Linked DNA regions of Oryctolagus cuniculus. Each later gene encodes a partner of the first gene's protein in a complex. Links are inferred from orthologs where the notes say so. Each region holds a gene or a part of one and is shown on either strand. Other genes may lie near its edges.

Region 1 (10,746 bases):
TCAAAAAATAAAAAAAATAAAAAAGTCCCGGCCCGCGCGTGGCTTACTAGGCTAATCCTCCACCTGCGGTGCTGGCACACCGGGTTCTAGTCCCGGTCGGGGCACCGGATTCTGTCCTGGTTGCTCCTCTTCCAGTCCAGCTCTCTGCTGTGGCCCGGGAGTGCAGTGGAGGATGGCCCAAGTGCTTGGGCCCTAAGCTCCTGGCTCCTAGCTTTGGCTCAGCGCGGTGCGCTGGCCGCAGCAGCCATTGGTGGGTGAACCAATGGAAAAGGAAGACCTTTCTCTCTGTCTCTCTCTCTCTCACTGTCCACTTTGCCTGTCAAAAAAAAAAAAAAAAAGTCCCGATGCGTGTCATGTTCTAGCGGCTCCCTCCTTGGGTCCCCTTGGGTCCTCATTAGTCACAGAGGAAGCCGGCAGGGGGCCCCAGGGGGGACTCCCCGAGATCGTCCCCGCCAAGGCTCAGCAATTGTTCTGTCCATCAGAATGACTGTGTGCCCAGCTCTGTGCTGGAAGCAGAGAAATGATGCTGGAAGCACCCTGGGGGGCTTGGAGGGCAGGGAGGTCTTCCTGGAGGAGGGGCCCCCGTCCTGCAGGGTAGGGAGGGGAGTGTCCTGTGGAATCAGACCAGAGGGTGGGCTGTGTGGCTTCCAGGAGGGGCAGGCGGGGCAAGCACGTGGCACCCAGACTCCGGGATGAGCCATGGAGGGCTCCAGACCCGCACTGACCGGGCAGATGGGTTGGAGACGGTGGGGCTGGCATCAGGGAGGCGCTGGGCAGGCTTGAGGCCAGCTCGGGAGGGTGGGCCTCGGAAGAGACATCACAGATCCTAGGGCACTGAGCCGCCAGGTCTGTGGCTTAGGCAGAGGACGCTGGGAGCTGGGGACCAGCTTTGGTGGCAAGTGTTGGGACTTCCTGTTGGAGGGACCTCGGGAAACTGGATGTGGGGCTGGGGCCGGGGAGGGTGGCCTGAGAGAGGCTGGGGGCTGGGCTTTGCGGGGCAGCCAGGACAAAGCCGGGGGGGGGGGGGCAGGCAGGAAAGCAGGGAGGGGGCAGCTGCTGGGGTTGGGGAAGAGCCTGGGAGCTGGGTGAGTGCAGCAGGTGCAAGTGCCAGTGGGAGCTTTGGGGGTGGCCCAAAGGGAGCAAGCCTGGGGTGAAGTCAGTACTGCAGATGGGGGCGGGGGTAGGGCTCCCCGAGGTGGTGGACCTGGCCTGGGGCGTCAGTGGTGGTGGTGGGGAGCCTGCTGCGGGGACTCCAGCCTGGCCAGGACCTTCTTGGGGCAGCTCACTTCCTGTGGCCCCACAGCTGGAAGCTCCCAAGCTCCGGGGGTTGGGGGCGGGCACAGAGGTGTGGGAAGTCAGTGCATACCTGGAGGAGGAAGATCTGGGGGGGGGGGGGTTAAAGCAGGCAAGAAGGCTTCCCAGAGGAGGCGGCACCAGCAGGTTTTCGTGGGGTGCTGCTTGAGAACCAGTGCCCTTGGGCGGGGAGATGCAAGGGCTGGGGGCGCCCTGACCCGGCCCGGTTCCCTCAGATGTGCAGCGGAGGAAGAGCCCCGTGTGTGGTTTCGTGACCCCCCTGCAGGGGCCCGAGGCGGATGAGCACCGGAAGCCGGAGGTAGCGGGGACCCGGGACCCTCCCCCTGCAGAGGGGCAGCGAGGGGCGGGAGCTGGGGGCGGGGTGCCCGGGCCGCCTTCTCTCTGAGCCCCCTCCCCCTGGACCCTCCCCAGGCCGTCGTCCTGGAGGGAAATTACTGGAAGCGGCGGATCGAGGTGGTGATGCGAGAGTACCACAAGTGGCGCATTTACTACAAGAAGCGGGTCAGTGGCCAGTCCAGGGACACCCCCCCAACACCTCCCCCCACCCACAGTGCCCCCTGCCGGCCGCGGCCCAGCCCACTCGCCTCGCGCCTTCTGTTGCGTTCCTGGAGGGCGACAGCGCCACCGTGCGGCCACGCGGACTCCTCGCAGCCTGCTGCATCCTCTAGGGTCTGGGTTTGGGGGGAACTCCCGAGGCCGACCGAGGGCTCGCGTTTTGTGGGGGGCGAGAGCAAGGAATCGAGGGTCCGACTCTGTGTTCCTGCAGCTCCGGAAGTCCAGCAGAGAAGGGGACCTCCTGGCTCCCAAGCAGGTGCGTGCAGAGGGTGGACAGCTTCAGCCTCGGTGGACAGGGCAGTGAGGGGACCAGCCAGGGACCTGGGGTTCACTGTGCTCTATTAGTGGAGCACTTCTCCCCTTGGGAGGCCGCAGAACTGGGAGGACCCCCCCAGGCCACTGGGCAAGTGGAGGGAGGCCGGGGGGTGCCGAGGGAGCTAAGGGCTGGGCCCCAACCCTCCCCACCCCCCAACACAGGTATAAAGGGGCAGGAAGGGGTCCTCTTTCAGACCAGGATACCCCTTGGGGGAGCTGGTAGGGGCCCACGAGATGACCTTGGCCTTCCAGGTGGCCAACTGGGTCCTGCAGGGACAGAGGAGGAGGGGCAGATGTGTGTGAGGGTGTGTGGCTCTGGCTGAACCCCCCACAGGGGTGACCCAGAGGGCCGGGCGGTGAGTGCTCTGTCCCACCAGCCGGAAACGGGGTGGCCGCCGCGGGAGCGATGGTGCCAGCAGCTCTTCTCCAGCGTGGTGCCGGTGCTGCTGGGGGGCCCCGAGGAGGAGCCAGGCGGCCGGCAGCTGCTGGACATCGACAGTTTCTTGTCCGACATCTCCGACACACTCTTCACCATGACTCAGCCGGGGCCCTCGCCCCTGCAGCTGCCCCCCGAGGATGGTGAGGGCCGGGGTGGGTGCTGGGGGACGGGAGGGGGGCCGAGGGAGGCCGAGGCCTGTGACGATCCAGGCCGCTCTCTGCCTGCTGGCCCCGACGGTGCACTACTGCCCCCTGCAGCCTACGTGGGCAATGCTGACATGATCCAACCGGACCTGACACCCCTGCAGCCCAGCCTGGATGACTTCATGGAGATCTCAGGTGGGCGGGGCCCTTCCGGGGGTGGGGTGGGGTGCAGGAGCAGGGTCAAGTACAGGAAAGCCTTGGGTTGACTGTCAGACCTCAGGCCTGTCCCAGGCAGGTGGCCTGGGTGGATTCTGAAGAATCTTCCTGTTCGCCTTTAAAATATAGACTGATTGATTGATTTGAAAGTCGGAGAGAGGAAGATAGAGATCTTCCATCTGCTGGTTTGCTTTCCAAGCGGCAGCAATGGCCAGGACAGAGCCAGGCTGAAGCCAGGAGCTTCTTCTGGGTCTCCCACGTGGGTACAGGGGCCCAAGCACTTGGGCCATCTTCCGCTGCTTCCCCAGGTGCATTAGCAGGGAGCAGTGTAGGAAGTGGAGCAGCCGGGAATTGAACTGGCGCTCAGGCGGGATCTGGCATTGCAGGTGGTGGGCTTAACCCTTTAATGTGCTTGTTTGAGAGGCAGAGAGACAGGACAGACAGAACTTCCATCTGCCGATTTACTCCCCCAATGTCCTCAACAGGACCAGGGCCAGGGCCAGAAGCTGGCCACTCGATCCAGGTCTCCCACGTGGGCGGCGGGGACCCTGTTATGTGAGCCTTGCCTGCTGCCTCCCAGAGTCTACATGAGCAGGGAGCCAGAGCCAGGAGCCAGAGCCAGGCACGCGGCTTTGGGCTGTGGCCGTCTTAACCTCCATCCTGAACAGGTGGCATGTAACCATTTGGGAAAACCTACTTAAACCAAGAATGTCCCTTTGGACCCACAAAGTTCGCCTCTAGATCATTTTCATGTGCAAATAGTTCTTGGGGGGAGTGTGGGAGTTTAGAGCAGTGGGTACGGCACTGCTTAGGGCACCTGCACCCCACATCAGCATTCAAGTCCTGGCTGCACCACTTGCCATCCGGCTTCCTGCTAATGCGCACCCTGGGAGGCAGCAGGTGATGGCTCAAGTCCTTGGGCCCCTGCCGCCCACGTGGGAGACCTGGATGGAGCTCCTGGCTCCTGGCTTCAGCCTGGCCCAGCCCTGGCTGTTGTGGGCATTTAGAGAGTGAATCAGTGGATGGAAACGCTTTCTGTGTCTGTCTGTCTCTCTGTCTACCCCTCAATTCAAAAGCAAGCGTTTAAATAAAATAGTAAGTTCCCCAGCCTCCCCCGCAGGGCCACCAAGTCCATGGCTGCTCCTGCTGGTTGCGGAGGGGGTCACACATGCCCTGGTTCTCACAACAGTCTCTGCCCCACTGAGCTGTAGATGTCAGGCGGACGTCAGGGCTCGGCCTGTCTCACCTGCGGCCTAGGGGACCAAAACAGGGTCCCTGGGATAGAGGCTCAGTTTCGGTAATTCCCAACCCCTCCCCCTCCCCCTCGCCCAGGGTGCTGTCAGTCAAGAGGTGGCGGCCTATAGGGTGGGGACTTGAAGCCTATGGGGGCGGGGACTAGGGAATGAGGAACCGCCCCCAGCCCTGAGCCGGGTGGGGGCTGCTGGGGGCAGAAGTCTTGATGGCCGTGCCCCGGGAGCAGAGCGGCCTGCGAGAGCAGGAGCCCTGGGTGGGCACCCAAACCCTCGCCACAGGTAGGAGCTGGTCTGGGGCTGGGAATCAACTGTCAATCCAGGGTGGCTGCTGGGTGGGGGCGGCTATGGGTCACAAAGAACAGTAGGCCTGGTGCGGCCCCCTGGAGCGAGCACTGTGTGCACTGCCGCTCTGAGTGTCCCCAGGGGCCCCTCCCTGGGGAGGTCAGGCTGGAAACCCAGGGAGGGGCCAGGAGCCGCGGCGGGGGCACACTGGGTGAGGGGAGGCCTTGGAGGGGCTCAGGGCTCAGTGGGTGGCTGGGCCAGGAAGTGACTGCCCCAAGGTAGGGTGGGGACAGCATGGGCTGTCCATGGTCAGGGGACGGCTGGAGGCTCAGGTCTGGGGCGGGCTTGCTGTGTGTGTGGTGGGCAGCTACAGTGAACTGGAGCCTGGGCCCCCCAAGATGGTGGGACCCACAGTCCCAGGGTCCCTCAGTCCCGGGTGGCATCAGTGACCCCTGGCCCTGTCCCACCCAGTCCCTCTATTTTATTGGACCGGCACAGAGACAGATCTCCCTGGTTCACTCTCCGAATGCCCGCGACAGTCAGAGCTGGACCAGGCAGAGTCAGCAGCCGCAAGCTCCAGCCAGGTCTCCCACACGGGTGGCCGGGACCCAAGCGCCTGCTGCCTTGCAGGGTGCACATTAGCAGGAAGCTGGAGCCAGGAGCCGGGACTGGGATCCAGGCCCTCCCGGACACGGGATGTGAACTTCTGGGGGTGGGGGGGGCAGCTGAGCCGCAGCACCAAAGGCCCACAGCAGCCGTGTCCGTCCAGTCCCTCGGTGGACAGCAAGGGGCCACCTCCTAGCCCTGTGCTGAGGAAAGACACATACACACACACACACACACACACACACACACACACGGCACAGGGCATGGGGCAAGGTCAGCTCAGCTCAGCACAGCTCAGCTCTAGACGCCGGGAGGCGACGCCAAGGGGAACAGACGCTACATGCAGACAGCACGCTGACCCTCCCAGAGTCGGCCCCTTGGCCCCTCGGGCCCCACATCCTGGCAGAGCTGTCAGCTGCACGCACGCCCACACACGCACACACGCACATGTGTTGGACACCCCCGGGTCCTGGGTCCCAGTCCCAGCTGTGACTTTACTCAACCCATTCCTGGTGTCCTTAGCTGAGGTGGGGGGAGGGGAGACTCTCTGGGTTGGGGTGGGGGGCTGGAAGGGCAGAGTGAGGGCCCCCGGAGGCCTTGGGAGCTGGCGCGGACCATGGCTGGTCGGGTCAGAGAAAGGTGGCCGGAAGGGAGCGGGTAGGCGGGTGGCGCCCCGGCCCGGGATGTGGTCAGCCAGCTGCTTCCCAAAACCAGAATAGCCTAAGACTTACACAACCCGCACCCCAAACAATCCGGCCGCCCTCCTCCCCAGCGCCTCGGGCCTCCCGGCCCCCTCCCACTCCCACTCCCGCCCCACCCGACTGTCAACCCCCTCATAACACCCTGCTCTTGACCTCACAGTAAACCTAGCTGGTCCCAGCGCCTCTGACCCCCTGACCTCGCTCACTTCTAACTCACCCCGAACCCATGCTGCCTTAGGGTGCCGCAGCCCCCCACTCTGCCCTCTCTGCACCCCCTTCCTGGGCCTCCAGCAGAAACTGGAGTAGGGGGCAGACAGGGGCCGAGGATGGGGGCCCATTGGGTTTCTGGGGGTCTCTGCTTACCGCCCCCGCCATGCCCACCCCAGTCCAGCCTCTGTCGCCGCTTCCCGTGAGTGAGACAGAAACGCCCCCAGTTTCACAATCTCCTGTGTAAGCCCCCCCTTTTCCCGCCAGCACCCCCACCCCAGCCCCGGGGCCAGCCTGATGCCCTCTCTCCGCCCACTGCCTCCCAGCCCCCGCAGGAGCCCTAAGTGCCACCTCCCTGTGTGACTCAATTACAGATTTCTTCACCAACTACCGGCCCCCGCAGACTCCTGCGCCCCCGAGCCTCCCCGAGCCCCCCAGCTTCGGCCCCATGGCTGATTCCCTCTTCAGCAGCGGGGTCCTGGGCCCCGAGGTGCCCCCAGCCTCCACAGGTCCGACCCAGCTCTCAGCACACCACCGCCTGCAGGTGAGCCCACCTGGGTGAGAGCTGACCCCAGGGCCCTGCCTGGGTCTCGGCGTCCACCTGGGCAGGGAGGACCCTGGGAAGCAGAACTGGACACGAGGGAGGTTGGGAGGGAGGCTGGGGAGGAAGGCTTCCTGGAGGAGGGGGAATTGTGGGCCTCGGTGGGAAGAGACGGGCAGAGAGCAAACCAGGGGCAGAGAGGGCAGGGAAGCTGAGCCTACAGGTTCAGGGCTTGGGGAACCCTCATTTTGGCTCGAGAGCTCCAGTCGCGCTTGACCTATTGTCCCCCTCGCTGTCACACCCTTCCCCGTCCCGGGCAGATCTCAAGGCTGTTAGAGTGGCCCACTGAGGAGGTCTCTTTCCTCCTCCCTTGCTGGAAGAAAGGGCAGTGTTTTGCTCACCAACCCTGGCCACCGTCCAGGTGCACAAGCGCACCCAGGTAGTGCCTGTGCAGTGAGCGAGCAGGCTGGGGGAGGAATGGGAGATGTGCTGTGGCCAGCGGGGGACTTAGCATAGCAGGGAGTGGCCAGTGGCATGGACGGGCTGCTGCCTGGATTCCAAGATGCATTGCTTGGTGTCTCCATGAATGGGCCGGTGGGCAGGTGAGAGGCTCGGGGGGGGGGGGCGGGGTGCCCAGGTGGCTCACGGATGGGCGGATCGCTGATGGATGGGTTGACGGATGAGTGACAGGTAGTGGGGCTGGGGCAGGGAGAGGCAGGTGAGTGAGCTCCATGAGGAGGGGGGTGCCTGGGTGGAGAATGGATGGATAGAGCCTGGGTGGGTGGACTGGTCCGTGGGCAGACTGGCGCAAGCGTTAGGAGATGGGCTGCTCGTCGGGGCGATGAATGGAAGGCAGGAAACCTGCTGACTTGTGTCGAGATGCACTCCCCTCCGCTCACCAGAGTAGACTCTCCCTGCTGTGTGTTGTGTATGCGTGTGGGACTGCATGTGCATGTGTGCATATGTGTATGACTTCATGCATGTATACGTATGTGTGCGAGTGTGTGCATGTGTGTGTGTGTTGGAAGGCAGGGGTTATTTCCCCTCTCCCCCCACCAGTGTCCAATCTACACTTCACCAGGGCAGGAGCTGTGTGGGGGCTGCAGGGCCCACTCTGCTCTCTAACTCTCTGTCCACCCCTCTGCCCCCCAACAAGGCTCGGAGCAGCTGCCCTGGCTCCTTGGACCCCAGTGCCTTCCTGAGCTCTGACTTCCTCCTTCCTGAAGACCCCAAGCCCAAGCTGCCGCCCCACCCTGCGACCCCACCTCTCCTCCAATGCCCCAGCCTTGCCAAGGTGCCCGGCCTGGAGCCCTGCCCCCCGGCCCCCTTCCCTGCCACGGCGCCCTCGCAGGCTGCTTTGCAGCAGGGAGAGTCTGTCTTCCCGCCCAGGTTCCCTTTCCTGACTGCCCCTCCTGCCCCTCCTGCCCCAGGCGTGTCCCCGCTGCCTGCTCCCACCCCCTTCCTGCCCACCCCCCAGCAGGTGCAAGGCCCTGCCCCCACCACTTTCCCCCTGGGCCACCTCCCCGCTGGGTACCCAGAGCCTGCCTTCGGGCCTGGCTTCGCAGTGCCTCAGGGTGTGCGGCCCAGATGCAAGCCCCCCACCACATCCCTTGGGGGGCGGAAAGCCAGCCCCCCAACCCTGGCCCCTGCCACGGCCAGGAGCAACAACCCCTGTCTCACGCAGCTGCTCACTGCAGGTGAGACCCGGAGCAGAGCGGCCAGAGGGGGAGGAGTGGACCAGGCATGGGAGGGGAGCTGGGGGCAGGCCCAGCAGGGAGGGGTGTGGAGGAGGCAAGGAGTTAGGGACCTCGGCCAGCTGTGCCTGAGAGGACTGAGGTCGCAGTCCTGAGCAATGATGGGGCTTGGGCCAGCCTGCGCAGCCCTCACGGTCCTGCCTGTGTACAGCCAAACCTGAGCACGCCCTGGAGCCACCGCTGGCCCCCGGTGCTCTCCTCCAGCCCACGGAGTCCCCCGTAAGTTGGTGGCCACTGGGAGGGAGGTGGGGGGGGGCCCGGGGACTCTCCCCACCCCCTAACCCTCTGCCCTGCTCCACCGCAGCAGGAGCCCACCCCTGAATTCTCCTGCGCCTTCTATCCCCCGGCCCTGGCCCCTACGCCACCCCGGCCACCGCCAGGCCCCGCTGCCCCGGCCGCTCCCAGGCCCCTGATTGTCCCCAAGGTGGAAAGACTTTCGCCCCCGGCACCCAGCGGTAAAGAGGGGTCCCAGGGACTCTAAGAGACGGAGAGGCTGAGGGGGACAGGGCAGTGGGACCCCCCCACCTGTGTGTCGGTCTGTCTGTGGGCCCCTCTGTCCCCGCTACAGGCAGTGAGCGGCGGCTGTCAGTGGAGCTCAACTCCGCGCCCTGCCAGGCGGCCCTGAGCCTGCGAGTCTCTCCCGCTCAACCCATCCTGAGCCGCGGCCGTCCAGACAACAAGGTGGGGGCGTCGTCCCCCTGGCTCCGAGCCCGGGTCTGCCACCCCCAGGCTCGCCCGGGCCCCCGCCTGGGCTCACCCGGTGTCTGCTCCCCAAGACCGAGAGCCGGCGCATCACGCACATCTCTGCGGAGCAGAAGCGGCGCTTCAACATCAAGCTGGGGTTCGACACGCTTCACGGCCTTGTGAGCACGCTCAGCGCCCAGCCCAGCATCAAGGTGCAACCCCCATGCCCGGGCCGGCGCCCCCTGCCCACCGCCACCACGGGGCCCCTTCCTGCACCTCCATGCCCGAGACCGCGTCCGCACGCTCTGCGGTCTCCTCCCGCCCCGCGCTGTGCAACGGGTGGGTCCCCCCGACACACACACGTACACCCCGGGTCCGAAGAGACGGCCCCCAGCGCCTGAGCGCCCCCTGCTGGCGGCCGCAGGTGAGCAAGGCCACCACGCTCCAGAAGACGGCCGAGTACATCGTCATGCTGCAGCAGGAGCGCGCGGCCATGCAGGAGGAGGCCCAGCAGCTGCGCGACGAGATCGAGGAGCTCAACGCCGCCATCAAGTAGGCAGGGTCCCTCTGGCGGGCGCCGTGGCCTCCTGGGGAGGGCCGGGACTGTCTGCCTCCCAGCCCTGAGCGCGCCCGCCTGCGCCCGCCCGCAGCCTGTGCCAGCAGCAGCTGCCCGCCACGGGGGTGCCCATCACGCACCAGCGTTTCGACCAGATGCGAGACATGTTCGATGACTACGTGCGGACGCGCACGCTGCACAACTGGAAGTTCTGGGTGGTATCCTAGCGCGCGCGGCAGCCCAGGGCCGCTCCCAGGGGAGGGGCAGTGGGGGAGGGGGGACGGGCTGTGGGTCTGCCTCCTGCTCCCTGACCCCTGGCTTCTCGGTCAGCGCAAAGGGCCGTGGAGGGACTGGGAGAAGAGCGTAGGAGTCAGGGCCTTGGTGGGGATGGGACGGGTGCACCAGCGCGAGTCACCGGAGCCTGTGGTTGGATGGTGTCCAGGCCCCACCTAGGGTCAGGGCTAGGGTGAGTGAGGCTGTGGGGGCACCAGCCTGGCCTCAGACCCGCTCCTTGACCTGGGACCAGTTCAGCATCCTCATCCGACCCCTGTTCGAGTCCTTCAATGGCATGGTGTCCACGGCCAGCTTGCACAGCCTCCGTCAGACCTCGCTGGCCTGGCTGGATCAGTACTGCTCCCTGCCGGCTCTCCGGCCAAGTACGTGAGCCACCTTGCAGGCGCGTTGCCCCGAGGGTGGGCAACTGCTCAGAGCCCTGCTCAGACCCCAGGTCCCTCTGGCCTCCCACACAGCCTGGGATCTGCTCCCTGCAGGGTCTCCCCACTACCACCACCACCATTTGTCCGCAGCATCCCGGGGTATAGGGCCTGACCCCAGGTGACAGTCTGTCTCCCCACTGCCACCCCCTAGCCGTGTTGAACTCCCTACGCCAGCTGAGCACGTCCACCAGTATCCTGACCGACCCAGGCCGTGTACCTGAGCAAGCCACGCGGGCAGTCACAGAGGGCACCCTTGGCAAACCGCTGTAGTCCCGGCCAGACCCGGCTGCCCTGGGGCTGTCTTCCCCGGGCATGTGCTCCCCTACTGCCCCAGGCCCTGGCTCTGCCCTCCCCTGAGGATGGATTGAGTCAGGTCCCGCCGAGTCTCATACTGTACACCGACGTGGGCCTCTGTCTTCCAATCTGCAAAAATGGACACACGGAGGCTTCCAGCAGCCGACGTC
Region 2 (11,221 bases), on another chromosome or scaffold:
CGGTGGGGCCTGGGCAAGACTCAAGCCAGGGTCTCCCAAATGAGTGGCCAGGGCCCAAGTACTTGGGCCGTCTTTTGTCGCTTTCACAGGCCATTAGCAGGGAGCCTGACTGAAAGTGGAGCAGCTGGGGCACAAGATGGCCACAGCGACATCACTGGCAGCAGCTTTCCTCAATGACTCTTCTAAGACAAGTACATTTTAATTTACCTGTGCCTATTTCTAGAATAGCACTTATCATGGTTTACTTGCAAATATCTTCTCCCACACTGGATTGTGAGCTTAAGGTAGGAACCAAGACTTCTATCTTTGGACACCCAACTCAGCACTATGTCTGACACAATACATTTAAGACCATCCAATCAATTGATGCATTTTTCTTAAGGTGAACAAGCTGTACTTTTCAATGTGGACAAAGCAGGCAGACCACCTCTGATAAATGTACAGTCTATCTGAGCCTGCCTTATGAAAAGAATTGCTTCAGTTCTTATCAGGAGACAACACTAAGTTTTTTGACTAATATTTTCCAGCCACTAATCTTTGAACTTATATATTCAAAGTGAATTTAAATAAGCCCTCAGAATACCTCCTGTCCATCTCCTTCATTCAAAAGCACAACTGGTTGCCGGCGCCGCGGCTCACTAGGCTAATCCTCCGCCTTGCGGCGCCGGCACACCGGGTTCTAGTCCCGGTCGGGGCACCGGATTCTGTCCTGGTTGCCTCTCTTCCAGGCCAGCTCTCTGCTGTGGCCAGGGAGTGCAGTGGAGGATGGCCCAAGTCCTTGGGCCCTGCACCCCATGGGAGACCAGGACAAGTACCTGGCCCCTGCCATCGGATCAGTGCGGTACGCCGGCCGCAGCGCACTGGCCACGGCAGCCATTGGAGGGTGAACCAACGGCAAAGGAAGACCTTTCTCTCTGTCTCTCTCTCTCACTGTCCACTCTGCCTGTCAAAAAAACAAAACAAAACAACAAAAAAACACACACAACTGGTTAAGCAATACAAAACACCAGCTGATTTAGTAAATAACAAATAACTTATGGTCTACCTAAATGTGCAAGGCACTTAAGGATTTACATCAACTCATTTAATCCTCAGTATCTGATGAAGCAGCTAACACTGTACCCTTTTACAAATAGTAACCTGCTCAGGGTTACACAGCTATAAATAGTAGAACTGGGATCTAAACCAGTCATAATTTAAAAATCAACACTCCTTTAATGCAGCACTATCTACTAAAAATCAATTACAGGAGCTGGTGCTGTGGCATAACGGGTAAAGCCTCTGCCTGCACTGCCGGCATCCCACATGGGCACTGCTCCACTTCTGATCCAGCACTCTGCTATGGCCTGGGAAAGCAGTGGAAGATGGCCTAACTCCTTGGGCCCTTGCACCTGCATGGGAGACCCAGAAGAAGTTCCTGGATTCAGATCGGCACAACTCCAACCATTGTGGCCATTTGTGGAGTGAATAAGCAGATGGAAGACCCTCCACCACCACCCCGCCTCTTGTCTCTCGGTAACTCTGCTTTTCAAATAATGAATAAATAAATCTTTTTTAAAAAAAGACTGATTCCCAATGCTTGCTTAAGACAGAATCTCCAGCTTTTTGAAGACCGGCACTACAGAGAAGTTTCCTAACTACTTCATGTTAGCTTTCAATCTTTTTATCCTTGTCAAGGCCACTCAGAAATAACTCTACTTATTGGGTCTCTTAAGGAAAACAAACCAAATAAACAGTATATGAAAACTGTACATAATAAAGCATTGGCCAGAATTCCTAAAAGAGCCAACTGCTCCAAAATCTGCTGGGAATGACCCATCCTGGTGAGACCATCTCTCATTTGCATCTCACAACTATCAGAAACACTTAAGATGCCACTACTTGATCTTATAGTAGGAAAAGCTGTAACATACATCACAAAAATACAAAGTACTCTATTTTTCCTCCCTAAGTATTCCCCTTAGAATTATCGCTTCCGAACGCAGCTCCAACTGTGTCTCACCATGACACTCAGGTGACTATGAGGACCATATTCACACAGAGCAAGATCGCTCTAAAGTGTAAGTTGTGGGGCCAGTGCTGTGGAGGAGCAAGTTAAGCCACTGCCTGCAAGGCAGGCAAGCCAGTTTGAGTCCCAGCTCCTCCACTTCCAATCCAGCTCCTCTAATGGCATGCGAAAGCAGTGGAAGATCTCCACCCATGTAGACTGATCAGGATGAAGTTCCTGGTTCTGGCTGGCCCAGCACTGCCTGTTGCGGCCACTTAGGGAGTGAACCTGCAGATGGAAGAGCTCTCTGCCTCTCCTTCTCTCTCACTCTGCCTTTCAAATAAATATCTAAATTAAAAAAAAAAAAAAAAAAGCTTAAGTTGCTTTTCTTGCCCCCTACTAGGATGAACCATCACCTCCCCTAAAAAAATGTAGGAACCAAGGAACTTAAAACTCTCTTTACAAAGAAATTTTTATTTACTCTCTAAGGCATTCTTTTTTTTTTTTTTTAAAGATTTATTTATTTATTTGAAAGTCAGAGTTACACAGAGACAGGAGAGGCACAGAGAGAGAGAGAGAGAGGTCTCCCATCCGATGGTTCACTCCCCAGATGGTTGCAACGGCCGGAGCTCTGCCGATCCGAAGCCAGGAGCCAGCAGCTTCTTCCAGGTCTCCCACGTGGGTACAGGGGCCCAAGCACTTGGGCCATCTTCTACTGTTTCCCAGGCCATAGCAGAGAGCTGGACAGGAACCGGGCCCATATGGGATGCCGGTACTTCAGGCCAGGGTGTTAACCCACTCTGCCACAGCACCAGCCCCTAAAGCATTCTTATTTAAAGAAAAACTGCTTAGTTTGGTGCCACTGAAGGAGCAGGTAGCATAACGTGACACTGTAATTTAAAATTTTTCCTTTACATATATATTCCTTCAACTCCAACAAACTATGTTAAATCTCAAAATCTACAGAAAAATACATGATAAATAAAAACTAATGATGGTCATGATCAAATTCGTTTTGATGAAGAATCTAGGTCTGTGTCCCACAAAGTAACCCAGGAGCTTTCGCCCTAGAAAAACTGGATTCCTCCCAGGCGTGCTTCATGATGCACACCTGCGGCTTCATTCCCACAGGTCAGAATGGGCACCCCCCCCCATAAAGTACATTACGGATCTACTGTCAAAAATAGCTACAATTCAAATTCAAGGATATAGAATACATGTAAAGAGAAATTAAAGGCTAAATGGTGTTTAAATAAATGATCGGCATGTGTTGCTCTACAAGTAGACACCTACTCTTTGTTAGTGCCAGATCACCTGGCTCCAATTCCTTCCTGACTCTAGAACTTACCTTGAGCTGTACATGGAAGGGGTCTTGGGAAAATTATTCTTCTCTGTGCCTCAGTTTCCTCATCTGTAAAATGAGGCTAACAGTATTTACCTCTCACTAGTTGTTATTAAGACTAATATAAAATGCTTAGAACAAATTGTGGCACACAGCAAATACTGTAATTATTATTTATTATTATTACTGTTTGATGCTACTTCATCGGTGATAAATAAATCAAACAGGTGTAGTCTACATTCCTGTTTATGTCATACAATATACGCTACGCCTGATCTGCACATGTGCACATTCACGCATGTGGTTAATCACCTTCTGTATCCCAGATGCTCATTTTAATTACTGAGTTGTCACAATACATCAAAGGCTGCATCACCACTTGCACTGTACAGATGAGAAAATGACAGACTAGATTTTCTATGTGCAAAATAAAAATTGGTAACAACACCATTTTTTGAAAGCAGTATGTGCACAAAGCAGGGCTGGGTCTCAAATGTAACTGGAGAAAAGCAAATTGTCATAAAAAAAAAAGCAAAAGCTTTCATTTAACAATTTACAGTTTGTAAAAAAGCTTCATGACCACACTAGAGATTAACTAAAATGCTGCAAATCATACTAAAAAATATTACCGCCTACATCTGAAGTGCATTTACCTGGTTCCAATTTCAATACTCCTTTGGTTTCTGCACCTACAGCCAAATGGGCAAGATGCACATTTCGCAGTGGCTCAGATCTCCGGAGACGCTGCCTAGGAACTAGCACCATGGGAATCTGCTCAGCCTGGTTTCAGAAAGGCTGCCTCCCTGATCCAGGGAGATCCAATTCTAAAATGGCTTCACCATAACACAAGCACTGCATCATGGGAAATGTACACAAAATTACAGGGTAGGAGCCATACTCCAGGGGCTTACGGTCCATAAATATTTGCTACTGATGAATAAGGATATTCAGTGTGAAGCTAAGTGTGTGGGCTAGGCCAAATCACCTTTCTCATACAGACTTCATCTGTAAGATGGGTGACTGACTTATCTCATTGAAGGCAGATGGGAAAATAATCCAGCCATTGCTACTGGATTTGCAGCCACCCATTTTGAAGGCCAAGCTTAAAATTCCAACTTGGACCTGACAAAACTGACCAGTTTTTATACTCTCCATACTATGTGCTGTTAGAGACATGGGTCAGAAAAAATGAGGGCTCAGATATCTAAAATATCCCTGAGAAAGAAATGGCGTGCACTGGAAGCAATGAAGAAATTCACTACCGAGCAATATTTCTATACATACAAAATTCCAACAGGAAGATGCAGAAATCTCAGTGGCCACGTGTCCATTTCTACATCACTGTATATGGTGTGTGCCTCCATGTGGACCATTCAGACAAAGTAATCAGTGCAAGGAACCTTCAGCTTCCCAGCGCTCCATTTCTCCCTCGTGGCTCCTGTAGCCAGCCGATTTTCTATGTTCGCAACATCATCTTGCCAAATTCCAGCTCCCACACAGGGCAAGGAAAATCAGAGCCTGATGCCATCCAGCCTTTACCAAAGAGAACTGCAGCAAAGGCAAGGACAAGACGCCATGTATTTTTACAGAAAGGTTGGCAAACTGTCTTAGCCAATGCTGCCACCTTTGAAAACTCCATTACATGCGAGTTCTCCATTTGCAATAGGCAAAAATGGACTCAGCTTCTATAGAAAAGGAGTCGAGCGTTCTCATCCCTTCCCCCGGCTACCAGGGAAATTCGGGACTGAAAAACGTGCTCTCACACACAGTCAGGGGGAATCTGGGCCGAGGACACGAAACACTCGGGCGTTAAATGACGGCGCATGCCCTGGGAAAATATTCCCAACACCAGCTGGTGGCTTTTTTCCCCTGGAGATCCGGCCTGACTCAGACATCGGTCCCAACAAATGCATTTTCTTGCTTCAAACCTCCGACCTGATCTTCCCAGGGAATCTCGGGTCCTGCCGGGCTCCGTACCCAGCGGAGGATGATGAAATGGCTTTGCTGCAAAGTGGGTGGGGGTTTCCCCCCTGCTGTCTCCCAAGGTTAAACCCCTTACTCATCCAGGGGTAGCCAAGCAGGGGCACCGGGGCGCAAGAACTCGCCTGCGTTTGCTTAAATTTTAATTTTTGGAAGCCGGAAAGCCCCAGAGCCGCAGTGACAGGGCTGAAAAGGGTAGTTCTCGCCGACCGAGGCGCAGGGAGGGGTCGCGCCGGGGATAAAAGCCCAGCCAGGAGGGAGGGGCCGGGGCCAAGGCTCAGCCGTCCCCGACCCGCAGTACCGAGCCGCACCCTGCCCGCCTGGCAGGGCCGCCGGCGGCGCGGGAGGCCCGGGCTTCTGCAGGCGAAGGGCCCGGCCCCGGAAACAGGGAGGGGCCGCGGCGAGGTCGGGCCCGCGCCGCAGCCGGCAGCCAGGGCCGCGGCAGCCGCGCACCGCCACCCCCGGGGGCTCACCCGCAGGGCCGACATCGCAGCCGCGGGCTGAGGGGGACCTGGAGCGTGGGCCCCTGGGGGCCCCGGGCGGGCCCGCGCCGCACTCACCGTGGGAGGGCTGCAGGGGGCAAAGAGGCTTCCGAGCGAAGCTCCGAGAGCGGCGACCGCTTCCTTCCCAAGCCTGCTCCTCAGGCAGCGGCGACGGCGGCTGCAGGGGCGGCAGCGGCAGCAGCTAACCAGGCTCCGGAATCGGCGGCGGCGGTGGCTGCAGCTCCACTTCCGCTCCGGCCACCGCTTCCGCTTGGCTCAAGCCCCGCCCCTCCCTGCGCCGTCTTCTCATTGGGCAAGTGAGGCACGGGGTTGCCCTGGCCGCCCGAGAGGGGCGCTGACGGCAGGGAGGAGGAAGAAGAGCCCAGTGCAGGGCCGCAGCGGACCGGGGCGGGCGCAGGGCCGGGAGAGGTAGCAGGGAGGAGGCGGCCGAAGGGGAAGGAAGTGGGGCGGGGGGACGGGAAGAGGAGGCGGGAGGAGAGAGGGCGGAGATGGGGGTGGAGGTCCAGAGATGGGATGTGTGGGAACAGGGAGGACTCGGGTGGGGGAGCGCCCGCGCTGCTTAGGTTGGAGCCTGGGCAGGGCCAGGCACAGCGATTCCCAGGGTGCAGGTTCCCACGCCACCCCGGAAGTAGTCCTCCCGGGGGTCGGAGCCCCAGCGCACACACCCTTTGGCTGCGTGCTGTGCGAATAACTGGACCTCGGAAGACAGAAATTGCTCGTCCCCCCGTTTTCGGTTTATCCGCCTTTCTGTACTTAAGGGACTATCTCCTGCCCTCATAGCCTGAAGAGGCCACGTGAAGGTCTTCTGAAAAAAACCTGTGCACATGGTTTCTTCATTGAGGAAGCTGCAGGGAGGCGCACGGGGCCGCGTGGCCCCTCACCCTCTCTGGCCTCTCACCTGTTCATGCTGACAGATGCGGAGCGGGTTTTCCGCTTAGTGCTGGAGAGACAGCAATACACAGGAGAGAGGGGGCCCTGCTCCCCTGGGAGTCTGGCGGCAGAAGAAAAAAGTACCTGGGTCGCGTTGCTGTCATCTCTCCCTTACCCTTATTTAGTTAATGATAGAGATCTAATTCGCCACACCATGCCCAGCCCCGCCTCTATCAGCTGCCTACTGATCTAAAAATGCAGGTGTAGCAGTTACGGTGGGGGGCACCCAGATTCCAGCTTCTTGCTAAGTCCCACCCTGGGAGACGGCAGGTGATGGCTCCAGCAGTTGGATCCCTGCCATTCGCCTGGGAGACATGGTTTGAGTTCCTATTCCTGGCTTCTGCCTGGGCTGGTCTGGCCATTTGGGGAGTGAACCAGTAAATGCGAGTGCTCTTTCTCAAGTATATTTTTAAAAAATGTTTAATGCCATTCTAATCATGTTCTGTCCCTACTTAAATCCTTTGCTGATCACTCAGACCTTGAAAACTATCAATAGTAAGTTCCTTGAGTGTTACAATCAAGGTTTTCCAGAAGCTCCCCTTACCCATACATAACCCATCGTAAATACCCTAACCCCGTTGGATGACTCCTTACCCCCCAGCGGGACTATTTCTAAACAGTTTGAGTTGGCAGTGTTTTCGAAAGCAGAGATTTCCGGCCATCGCTGCCTTCTCTGGCAACACTTGGCCGAAGCCGGGGAGTGGCTGCCTTACTCTAGACTGGGCACGGACTTCCCAAAGTGCCAGGGTGCCCTGCAAATCTGAGTCTGCCACCCAAATGTGCCTTCCTCAGTTACAGTAACCGCTGCATAGGCCTTTGTGCCTGCAACGCCTGGGTTATCCCACACGGCCTGAACCACTTACCGGCTTTTAACTTTGACGAAGTTGGGAACCTGGTATAGAATGTAAGCAGCGTGGACTTGAATCAGAACCGCTGGGTTGAATCCCAGAGAGAGTTGCCAGTGCAAAAACTTGCCTGTGGGGATCTTTGCACACCAAAGGCCAGTGATCCAGAGACTGCTCAGGAGCAGTAAGCTGTAACGTGACGTGACTGTGTCTTATGCTCCCACCCGGAACACAGCCTACTGAGTCAGAGGGTTCATAGTGATTCCACCACAGGTTACATCATCGGCAGCACAGAAGTGCCCTTTGTCAGGCATCCCTGGGTGCCTGCTAACGGATTGCATAGCTAGCTCCTTTTGCCACCTCTGCATTCTAGAACAGAGGTCAGTGAGCTATGGCTATTAACTGGCAGTCATACAAAGAGGTATAAAACAGGATGTGGAATACGCAACCATATGTGCGCAGGGTCCTGTTCAAGCTTGGGAGAAGGGCCCCTAACCCATCTTGGGGGTGTGGCAGAAGAGCAGGCAAGACTTCCTGGGAGAGATGATGCTTGAGCTTTCGATTCTGCAATGCATTTTCTAAAATTAATAGGCTTTTTAGAGTATTAAGTTTGCAGAAAAATTGACCAGAGAATTTTAATATTTCCCTCTCCCCCCAACACCAACCACCCCCCACAAACACCCAGGCTCACAGTTTCCCTTATCATTCGGATAAGGATTCCCTTATCATTAGGATATTGTATTAGTGTAGTGTATTTGCTAGAATAGATATACCAATATTAATACATTATGTTTAAAGTCCATTTACAGTAGAGTTCATGTTTTGTATTGTACACAGTTCTGTGGGTTTTGACAATGCACAATGTGATGTAGCTGTCATTAAAGTATACAGAAGAGTTTGCTACCCTACTAATCCCCTGGTCCTGGGGGCTGGCGCTGTGGCGCAGTGAATTAATGCCCTGGTCTGAAGCAAGTCCCAGCTGCTCCACTTTTGATCCAGCTCTCTGCTATGGCCTGGGAAAGCAGTAGAGGATGGCCCAAGTCCTTGAGACTCTGCACCTGCGTGGGAGACCTGGAAGCAGCTTCTGGCTCCTGGCTTTGGATCAGCGCAGCTCTGGCCGTTGCCATCTGGGAGTGAACCATCGGATGGAAGACTTTCTCTCTCTGCCTCTCCTCTCTCTGTGTAACTCTGACTTTCAAATAAATAAATAAATCTTTAAAAAAAAAAAAAAGAATCTCCCTTTCTCTCTCTCCCACTGTCTAACTCTGCCTGTCAAAAAAAAAAAAAAATCTCCTGGTCTTCCAGGAACTTCCTAGCTTACCCCCAAACCTTTGGCAGCTGCTGGCCTTTTTTTTTTTTTTAAGATTTATTTTATTTATTTGAATGACAGAGTTACAGAGAGAGAGGTCTTCCACCTGCTAGTTCACTCCCCAGATGGCTGCAATGGCTGGAGCTGCATCGATCCAAAGCCAGGAGCCATGAGCTTCTTCCGGGTTTCCCACGTGGGTGCAGGGGCCCAAGAACTTGGGCCATCTTCTGCTTTCCCAGGCCATAGCAGTGAGCTGGATTGGAAGTGGAGCAGCTGGGACTAGAACCGGTGCCCATATGGGATGCCGGCGCTTCAGGCCAGGGCTTTAATCCGCTGCGCCACAGCGCTGGCCCTAGCCACTGACCTTTTGCACTCTGTAATTTTGCCTTTTCCAGAATGTCATTAGAGTTGGATCACATAGTATGTAGCCTTTTCCTGCGGAATTCTTTCACTAAGCAATATGATTTGAAGTTTCTTTGTGTCTCTCACTGAGTAATATCTTATTGTATGAATGTACTAGCTTGTTAATTTATTCCTAAGAATCAACTATGTCTTCCAAAAAGATAGATTGAAATCTTATTCCTTATATGTCTGTGAATGTGACTTTATTTGGACAAAGTCTTTGCAGACGTGATCAAGTTAAGCTGAGGCTACTGGAGTGGGCCCTATTCTAACATGATAGGTATCCCCACAGAAGAAAATGGCACGTGCTGACAGAGACACATGGAGAATGCCACATGACAGCAGAGGCAGAGACCAGGGTGATGAAGCCATAAACCAGTGACCACCAGGGATCCACAGCCACCACCAGAAACCAGGATTCTCTCCAGAGTTGCAGCTGACATACTGAATCCAGACATCTAACCTCCAGAATTGTAAGAGAAGAAATGTCTGTGGGTATTTTTTAAAGCTTTTTATTTAGTGTATTTTAAAAAAAAATTTTATTTATTTTTAAAGATTTATTTTATTTATTTGAAAGACAAAGTTACAGAGAGAGGTAGAGCCAGAGAGAGAGAGAGAGAGAGAGAGGTCTTCCATCCACTGGTTCACTCCCTAAATGGCTGCAATGGCCTGAGCTGAGCTGATCTGAAACCAGGAGTGAGCCAGGAGCTTCTTCTGGGTCTGCCATGTGGGTACAGGGGCCCAAGCACTTGGGCTATCCTCCACTGCTTTCTCAGGTCATAGCAAAGAGCTGGATCAGAAGTGGAGCAGCCCGAACTTGAACCACACCCACATGGGATGCCAGCTCTGTAGGCTGGGGCTTTAAGCCGCTGCACCACAGTGCCAACCCCTGTTTGGTGTATTTTCAAAGACTTTATTGAGTGTATTTTATTTTATTCTAAGATTTATTTTATTTATCTGAAAGGCAGAGTGACATCGGGGGAGACACAGAAAGAGAGATCTGTACCCTGGCTCACTCCCCAAATGACCACAACAGCCAGGCTAGGCTAGGCTAAACCCAGGAGCCTGGAATTTGATCTGGGTCTCCCACACAGGTGGCAGGGGCCCAGGTGCTTAGGTCATCTTCTACTGCCTGCTCAGGTAAATTAGCCAGGATCTGGATTGGAAGTGGAACAGCTGGGAATCAAACCTGCACTCTGATATGGAATGCTACATTTCATAACCCACTGCACCACAGTGCCAGCCCCTGATTTTCCCTAAAATTTTAGAATCAGTTTGTCCGCATCCACAAAATAACTTGTTGGGATCTTTATTGGGATAGTGGTAAACTTATAGATCAAATTGGGAAGAACTGGTAACAATATGAGTCTTTCTACCCACACCATGGACAATCTCTCCATTTATTTAGATTTTCTTTAACTTCTTTCGTTAGTTTTGTAGCTTTCCTCACATAGATCCTGTGCATATTTTGTTAGATTTATACCTATTTATGTGCTAATACAAATGGTATTGTGTTTTAAACTTCAGATTCAACATGTTTATTGCTGGCAAATAGGAAAGTAATTGATTGTATATTAACCAAGCATCTTGCAACCTTGCCTTAATCACTTATTAGTTCCAGGGGGTTTTGGCAGTTCTTTGGATTTTTTTATATACACAATGATATCTTCTATGGGCAAAGGGGGTTTTACTTCTTCCTTCTCAATCTACCTGTTCCTTTCTTTTCTTATTACACTAGCTAGGACTTACAATAAGATGTTAAAAGATGTTAAATAGGAGTGGTGAGAGGGGACATCCTTGCCTTGTCCTCGTTTCTCACTATTAAGTATGGTACTTGTTGTAGGGTTTTTGTAGATACTCTATCAAGTTTAGGAAATTCTCTGTCCATTCCTAGTTTTTCTTTTTTTTAAATAGAGGAACAAT

Evidence for each region.
Region 2: the proteins of MLXIPL (region 1) and YWHAB are in contact, whole or in part, in a crystal structure (PDB 6YGJ), measured with the Homo sapiens proteins. The link is inferred for Oryctolagus cuniculus from reciprocal best matches to the Homo sapiens genes MLXIPL and YWHAB. Residues at the interface, in NP_116569.1 of Homo sapiens: Asp118, Ile120, Arg121, Asn124, Ala125, Trp127, Arg128, Ala129, Trp130, Tyr131, Ile132, Tyr134; in NP_003395.1 of Homo sapiens: Gly55, Arg58, Ser59, Trp61, Arg62, Ser65, Ser66, Gln69, Lys70, Arg129, Val178, Tyr181, Glu182, Asn185, Leu218, Gln221, Leu222, Asp225, Asn226, Leu229, Trp230.

Annotation. Positions count from the first base shown.
Region 1 is NC_091450.1:50,445,127-50,455,872, forward strand, and holds part of MLXIPL (carbohydrate-responsive element-binding protein), read left to right. Parts: intron 1-1,529; coding exon 1,530-1,612; intron 1,613-1,725; coding exon 1,726-1,815; intron 1,816-2,080; coding exon 2,081-2,125; intron 2,126-2,561; coding exon 2,562-2,763; intron 2,764-2,880; coding exon 2,881-2,961; intron 2,962-6,405; coding exon 6,406-6,575; intron 6,576-7,728; coding exon 7,729-8,269; intron 8,270-8,477; coding exon 8,478-8,545; intron 8,546-8,630; coding exon 8,631-8,781; intron 8,782-8,894; coding exon 8,895-9,007; intron 9,008-9,102; coding exon 9,103-9,222; intron 9,223-9,434; coding exon 9,435-9,562; intron 9,563-9,660; coding exon 9,661-9,784; intron 9,785-10,092; coding exon 10,093-10,222; intron 10,223-10,433; coding exon 10,434-10,552; 3' UTR 10,553-10,746. UniProt on the Homo sapiens protein: Binds DNA as a heterodimer with MLX/TCFL4 and activates transcription. Binds to the canonical E box sequence 5'-CACGTG-3'. Plays a role in transcriptional activation of glycolytic target genes. Involved in glucose-responsive gene regulation.
Region 2 is NC_091442.1:14,268,209-14,279,429, forward strand, and holds the start of YWHAB (14-3-3 protein beta/alpha), read right to left. Parts: upstream 6,006-11,221; 5' UTR 5,870-6,005; intron 1-5,869. UniProt on the Homo sapiens protein: Adapter protein implicated in the regulation of a large spectrum of both general and specialized signaling pathways. Binds to a large number of partners, usually by recognition of a phosphoserine or phosphothreonine motif.